2 linked regions of the Macaca mulatta genome follow. The protein of the gene in region 2 interacts with the protein of the main gene of each other region in a pairwise test. Links are inferred from orthologs where the notes say so. Each region holds a gene or a part of one and is shown on either strand. Other genes may lie near its edges.

Evidence for each region. The genes of interacting proteins can lie anywhere in the genome.
Region 1: the proteins of RXRA (region 2) and NR0B2 interact in a two-hybrid assay, tested with the Homo sapiens proteins (2 studies listed by BioGRID and IntAct). The link is inferred for Macaca mulatta from reciprocal best matches to the Homo sapiens genes RXRA and NR0B2.

What each region holds. Positions count from the first base shown.
Region 1 is NC_133406.1:214,067,578-214,071,322, reverse strand, and holds the start of NR0B2 (nuclear receptor subfamily 0 group B member 2), read right to left. Parts: upstream 2,156-3,745; 5' UTR 2,095-2,155; coding exon 1,563-2,094; intron 241-1,562; coding exon 1-240. UniProt on the Homo sapiens protein: Transcriptional regulator that acts as a negative regulator of receptor-dependent signaling pathways. Specifically inhibits transactivation of the nuclear receptor with which it interacts.
Region 2 is NC_133420.1:8,157,107-8,160,851, forward strand, and holds the start of RXRA (retinoic acid receptor RXR-alpha), read right to left. Parts: upstream 2,344-3,745; 5' UTR 2,334-2,343; coding exon 2,123-2,333; exon of another isoform or gene 2,077-2,122; coding exon of another isoform or gene 1,872-2,076; intron 1-1,871. UniProt on the Homo sapiens protein: Receptor for retinoic acid that acts as a transcription factor.

The DNA.
Region 1 (3,745 bases), on a different chromosome or scaffold from region 2:
ACCTCAGCAAGAGCATGTCCCCAAGAAGGCCAGCGATGTCAACATCTCCAATGATAGGGCGAAAAAAGAGGTCCCCAAGCAGGCTGGTCGGAATGGACTTGAGGGTGGAGGCTGTGAGGAGGACACGGGCCAGGCGGCCTTGGGCTGCTGGGCACCAGGGCTCCAGGACTTCACACAGCGCCCAGTGAGCCTCCTGCTGCAGGTGCCCAATGTGGGAGGCGGCTTGGAGGCCTGGCACATCTGTGGGCAGAGAGGGAGAAGAGGGTTGGTGAGCATCCTACTCCCAGCCACCAAAGGAAGAGACTGGCCCAAGATCTGGGCCATCAGAGACACCCCTCTGCCTCCTTTGCTCGGCCTTTGAGGTCCCACTACTACCTCCTCCTTTGGAGGAGGTAATTTATTTATCAATTTCCATTGTATTCATCCATCCATTTATGAAGAGGCAGTATGGAGTAATGGTTAAGAATCAGGTTTCCTGAGTATGAATCCCAGTACTGTCACTTAGCTGGGTGACCTTGGGCAAGTAACTTAATCTCTGGGCTTCAGTTTCTTTATTTGTAAAACGAGGATAATAATATTAATAGGACCTGTCTCCTAGGTTTTTATGAGATTTAAATGAACTAGTATATGTAAAACCCTTAGAATAGGGCCTAACATATGGTAAGTGTGATATGAGTATTTGCTACTATTATTGCAATTAACTACTACGATTTATGCGTGCCACAGGGACTCCTGGGGAACGCTCATCTCAGATGCTCTCCAGATTACAAAGAGCACTGTCTCATCTGCCACTCTCCTGGCCAAATTCCACAAAGACTCCCTTCCTGTCCTCCCTACACCCCTTTCAGTTCTCTCTTCTAAGTGATCTTTCTGAACCCACAGAGGAGTTTCAGCTCTAGAGCTTCACCATGCAGCCTTCCTTTGAAGATGTGACTGAGACACAGCTGTGTCTGCCCACCCCACCTCCCCCGCAGCCTTCTCTAAAGGTCAGAGCAAATTTCTCAGGCAGAGTGGCAAGGGCCAGTCTCTGGAGTGAATAGACCTGAGTTGCCATCCTGGTCTGTCCCTACCTGGCTGTGTTACCTTTAGCTCGTCACTTAGCTTCTCTGTACCTCTTCTGTGAGATGGCTATTTGATGAAAATGAGGAACCGGCCAAGCACAGTGGCTCACGCCTGTAATCCAGCACTTTGGGAGGCCAAGGTGGGTGGATCACCAGAGGGATCAGGAGTTCAAGACCAGCTTGACCAACATGGCGAAACCCCGTCTCTACTAAAAAATACAAAAATTAGCCGGGAGTGGTGGCGGGCACCTGTAATCCCAGCTACTTGGGAGGCTGAGGCAGGGAAAATTGCTTGAACCCAGGAGGCAGAGGTTGCAGTGAGCCAAGATCGCGCCATTGCGCTCCAGAGTAGGTGACAGAGTGAGACTCTGTCTCAGAAAAAAAAAAAAAAAGAAAATGTGGACCCCATGAGATTACAGATATCAAACCCTTAGAAGTTACCTTCCCTGGCTGGCTCCTGCTTCAGCCTTGCCCCCTACCCAGGAGTGTCTGGGAGCTCACCAGGGTTGAAGAGGATGGTCCCTTTCAGGCAGGCATATTCCTTGGGGCTCAGCTCCAGGCCCCAGAAGGACTCCAGACAGCACTGAAGCCACTGCACTGCAGCCAGGGAGGGCTGGGGTCTGTCTGGCGGCTGGCCACTGCCTCCACTGCTGCTGGGCTCCTCCAGTAGAATCTTCTTGAGTATGCTGGGCACCGGGGCCTCAGCCACTTCAAAGGTCACAGCATCTTGGGCCAACCCAAGCAGGAAGAGGGGGCCCCAGCAACCCTGCAGCAGCCGCCGCTGGTCCTGGGGAGGCAGCTGCCAGAAGGATGGCAGGTTCCTGAGGAAGGCCACTGTCTTGGCCAGAACATCCAAGGCCTCCCGGCAGGTGCGATGAGGTGCACATAGCTGGACGGGCCGGTGCTGCCTACATAGGCAGCGGCTACGGGGTCGGGGGACAGCCCTGAGGCTGGAGCTCAGAAGTGCGTAGAGAATGGCTGGGCGGCTTGCAGCTCCCTGGCATGGGCAGGCCCCTGGTTGGCTGGTGCTCATGGTTGGGATCTGCCCTTACTTCCAGCTCTCTGGCCCTCTGTTCTGCGCCGTGGGTGCTATTTATATTCCCAGTGAGTGGAAGGGGGGGAATGGCCCGACAACCTTGACTCCAGAAGTCATGTTCATTGAAAAAAACACACAGACACTGCCCCTGGCAGGAATGGTGGGGAAGTGGTGGGGGAGGGGGCATTGGGAACCCCACGTGGCACTGATATCACTTCAGTCAATGAAGTGGCCGGTGCAGGGCACAGGGCCACCTGCCGCTCACTCAGCTGCCCCTTATCGGATGACTCAAGTGGATAAACAAGGTCATTAACCCAGGTTGTACCAGGGCACCAAGGCCCCAGGTGCACAATCAGCAGGTGTCCCCATTGGTGCCTGCTCTTGTGTGCACAAAAGACTAGCGCTTTCGCTAAGCCAGGAAGTCAGCCCCAGAGCTGGGTGGGCCTTGAATGCAAGGCCCGACCTGGAAGTGCCTTATCACTAGCTTGTTTGCCTAACCTTGGGGCCCTGCTTCTGTTGTCGGCCAGGAGCAGGCTACAGGGAAGGGAGCCAGGACCCTGGGGGGGCTGGGAGGACTTTGCCCGCTGTCCAGTCTCGGAGGCCCCCTTCCTCTGGTTTCAGTTCTGGGCCCCCTGCAGGAATAAGGTCCTTCAGAATCCCTATCCCCTGCCTGATTCCTTTTTTTTTTTTTTTTTTTTTTTGAGACGGAGTCTGCTCTGTCGCCCAGGCTGGAGTGCAGTGGCCGGATCTCAGCTCACTGCAAGCTCCACCTCCCGGGTTTACGCCATTCTCCTGCCTCAGCCTCCCGAGTAGCTGGGACTACAGGCGCCCGCCACCTCGCCCGGCTAGTTTTTGTACTTTTTTTTAGTAGAGACGGGGTTTCACCGTGTTAGCCAGGATGGTCTCGATCTCCTGACCTCGTGATCCGCCCGTCTCGGCCTCCCAAAGTGCTGGGATTACAGGCTTGAGCCACCGCGCCCGGCCTTTCCCTGCCTGATTCCTACCACTCCTGAAAGTCCAGTTCTGCTGAGAAGAACTCACAGAGTTATAATAAAAGATAGTTGCCAGCTGGGCATGGTGGCTCATGCCTGTAATCCCAGCACTTTGGGAGGCCGAGGAAGGGGGATCATTTGAGGTCAGGAGTTCAAGACCAGCCTGGCCAACATGGCAAAATCCTGTCTCTACTAAAAATACAAAAATTAGCCGGGCATGGTGGCATGTGCCTGTAGTCCCAGCTACCCTAGAGGCTGAGGCAAAAGAATCACTTGAAACTGGGAGGCAGAGGTTGCAGTGAGCTGAGATCATGCCACTGTACTCCAGCCTGGGCAACAGAGCAAGACCCTGTCTCAAAAAAAAATGTGTGTGTGTGTGTGTGTGTGTGTGTGTGTATATATATATATATGGTTGCCATTCTCTGAGCACCTGTTATGTGTCAGGCACTTCCCACTCTAATATTGGCAGCCTCCTTCTAAGGCTAGATTCTTACTTTGTGAGACTAAAAAAGTTAAAGTGACTTGCCCAAGGTCATCCCACCAGGAAGACCAAGCCCAGATCTTGCCTGACTCCAAAGTCCTTGTTTGTTCCCCTGGACCCATTGGCCCAATTGCACAGCCAGAGCCTGAGATTCTCTGAGCTTGTGGCTAGCTGC
Region 2 (3,745 bases):
TCCGCACCATCATACAGCCGAGATGCTGATGCTGACCCTCAGTACAGATGAGGACAAGGTGGCAGGGGAGACACCACCCAAGCCAGGCCGGGCCCCGGGCTCAGCCTCTCAGCCCCTCGAATGCGTCTCCTCATGCAGTGGGGACAGGCGGCCGAGGAAAGCGGAGCCACTGGCCCAATCCCCACCCCCACCCACCTCAGCAGAAGGCATGAAAATGCCCCAGATGGAGCTGCTCCCGGGGGGAGGCTGGTTCTCGTGGGGAAGGGCAGAGTGGAGCTGGGCCAGGGAGGCCCCAGTGGGCAGTGCCTCAGGCTCCCCATGTGGGTGAGCACAGCCCGGGCACAGCACAGGGGCCCACACAATCCTCATGTAGCATCGTCTGGGGCTTGCTGTGCCTGGTGGAAGACACTAGCCGGAAACCACAGGCCTCCAAATGGAGCTGACCACCCACGGGCAGCCCCTGGGGACCCCAGCCACCAGTATGCCACCCATGTGACTACTACACAGCATATCCAGCTCTGAGCCACCACCCAGGGGGCGAGGACAGCCATCCCCCCTTACAGAAAAGGCAACTGAGGCTTGGAGGGGCAAAGGGCCTTCCAAGGCTGCAGCTGGCGAGGCGGGGGCCAGGGAACGATGCAGCAGCGCTGTGTTCAGGCCACTCCGCGGCTCCAGCCCCACCGGCTCTCGGGGGCCAGTTCCTCCCTCCCCCGGTGGTTTCCATACATCCTGCCCTGGGAGCCTGACACTGACCAGCTGCCCACTCGGCCCCAGACAGGCTGTTTAATCAAAGCGTGCGATCGGCATGACATCTCCTGGTATCTCTGGGCGGCTGCACCCCCATCCTCCACCCTCCCTCAACACACACACAGCCATCTGGCGGGTCTGCTCCTCCCGACCATAGGCCGGCAAGTGCTCTGGAAAGAGGCATGAACCAGGGGTCCTGGGCTTGGCGCAGGGGTCCCAGCGGTGCCTGCGGACCTCCAGACACCAGCCGCAGCCAGAAGCTGACCCAACTAGGAGGAGAGGAAGGTGTCACAGGCAGGGCGAGATCGTGCACACTGTCCACCCCACTCCCACCCCAGGAGAGCCTGCGGCACCCGTCCGCCCACCCGAGCCAGCCCAGCTCTGCCCCTCCTCCAAGCAGCTTTCCCGGGTGGACACCGCCCGGCAGGCCCAGCCCTGGGGAACCCTGTGCACAGCCCTGTGCCTCCAGGGAGACGGGCATTCAGGTAGAACTAAAGTCCCCAAACCTCATGAGACAAGTCAGCAGGCACACAGGTAACCTCGCCCGATGCGGGGTCTCCTGATGGCACCCACGCATGGGGCCACCTGAGAACCCTGCCCATCTGGCCCATGCTCGCCAAGTTGCTGGGTCCCTGTCCATGCATGCTCTACCCGCCACGAGCTTCAGGGCCGAGCCACCCCTGCAGTACCACTGCCACATGTGGCAGCCGAAGACCCCAGGCCACCTGAGCCAGCCTCTTCTCTTTCCCCACCAACCAGCCGTCCCTATCCTCCCTCCTGCTCCCCGTGGAGAGGCTTCCCTCCCTGCCACCAAGTTCGGCCAAGCCCTCCACCAGGCCGAGGCACCCCTGTCCAGAGCTACCCTCAGCAGGCCCACCACCGACACCCAGCTGTCCAGGTGCAGAGCAGGGGTCAGCAGGGCTCCCCGGGTGCCCAGCATGAGGAAGCGGGAGCTTGGGGCCAGGCTGGGACAGGGAGCTGGGGTCTGCAGGCCCAGCCAGACCCCTCTCCTGCAAGAGCCTCTGTGCAGGCCCTCACGAGGCGGGTCAGTGTTTGGGACCCCTCCTGGCCCTCGGTGAATTCAGGGACAGCACAGGTCCCCTCCCGGGAAGCGGCGTACCCACCGTGCATCACCAGCCTTCTCAGCGGGGACCAGCCCTTCACTGCAAGTGACAGAACTGGGTCTCGGATATGCCAGCCCCTCCCGAGTCTCAAGGCCCTGCTGGCGCAATGCCACGGTTGGCACTCAGGCGGTACAGAGCTGGTGTCCAAAGTCAGGTCCTGCCAAGGTCTGGGGCTTCTGGGTGTTTTAAAGCCACGCACACACATTCAGCTCTCCCTCAGGGACTGCAACCCCAGGCCCAGTTTCACCCACCTCGACATCCAGCATCCGGGGGAGGCACGTGAAGTCTTCTGACCACCGAACCCTGCATTGGGCCTGAGGCAGCACACAGCGGACACGTGATGCCTTTGACAGCGGATGGATGGGCAGGTGCCATGCAGCCTAGGACCCCGAGGACAGGGCGTACGTAGGCCGGGAAGCACTGAGCAGGAGCCAGCCCTCCATCGCAATCCCACAGCAGCATGGCTGTTCGAGCCTGGCTGAACTCAGCCAAGACTCAACCCACGTGTCGGCCACCTGCATCCCCCGGGACCAGATCAACATTCTGTCCGTGACTGGCCTCCATCTGCAGCAGGGGACAAGCGGCCACATGGGCCCTGGGGGACCTTGGGACAAAACTGGGCTGCGGGGACCCTCCCAGCCAGCCTGAGCTCAGAGGAGCTGCACCTGGCTCTCACTGCCCTGCATCCTGGAAACCATCGCACCACGATGCCCGCTGCGCCAGCAAATGCTGCTCTGTCCTCCCTCTCAAAACCCTGGCCCTGCCACCAAAATGTTCCAAGCTCCAACCACAGACCCCGGGGCCACTAAAATGTTCCAAGCTCCAACCACAGACCCTGGGGTTTCGCCTCCTGGGAGGCTTCCAGGTCTACCCCAGAGCTCTGGCATTCAATGCGCACTGCTCTTGTAACCTGCAAGGGGTCCTGCATGACCTCAACTGCAACTGCCTCCACACCTGGCACCCCCGACTCCCCTCGATGCCTCACGTCCCTAGAAATGGCACCACTGTGTGGGCCCAAACCACAGGGTCACCCCAAGCCCCTGCTCCAGGCCTGTCGGCCACGGCTCTAACCGGCTCCTCCATCCCCCACAGTCATGGCCACGGCTGCCTCTGCTTCCGTCTCCGAGTGGACACGGATTCCCCTCCTGCCCCTAGGGTCCATCCTCACCAGCCGCCACGACCCTCACTCAGCACTCACAGCCTCTGAAGGATGCTCACCACTATCAGGACATGCCCAGCACCACTGGCCATGCCCTGCCTGGCTCTGTCACCCACCGGGCCCCTCCTGGCTGCCAGACCTCAACGTCCAGCTCTTAACTGACCACCCCACCCCCTGCCAGTGAGCCCCACCCTGGGGCCTTTGCCCACACTGTTCCCCTGGCCTGAGAGGTCCTCCTCCACCTCCCCACCGGCTGCTCCTTCCCATGCACAAGTCCACCTACAGCATCCCCCCGGAGGGCCTTCCCTAACCATGCTGGCCAGGGACCCTCCGCATACCTGGAACCTGCCCGTCAGCACAGGCCCCTGAATGTCCTCTCCCAGCCCCGTGCTCCTCCGGAGAGGGGTGTGGGGTCACAGCAGGGGCTGGCTCTGACTGACCAGGCCCCCCTCCTGCTCGGCAGAAGCCCGGACACTGCAGTCCCCATCAGGGTGGACGGCACGGTGTCTGCCTCCCAGGCAGACGGAGAAGCCGGGCTGCGCTCGGGGCGCAGAGACAAAGGCAGGCTGACCATGAGCGCCCGCAATTAATCTCGGTCAACACCGTGGCAGGGCGTGTCATCCGCCCGGCAATTTACATTTTTATTAAATTACACAGGAAAATTAGAAACATTATTACTTCCCTCAGTCCTTTAACCCTTTTCTCTACCTGCTCT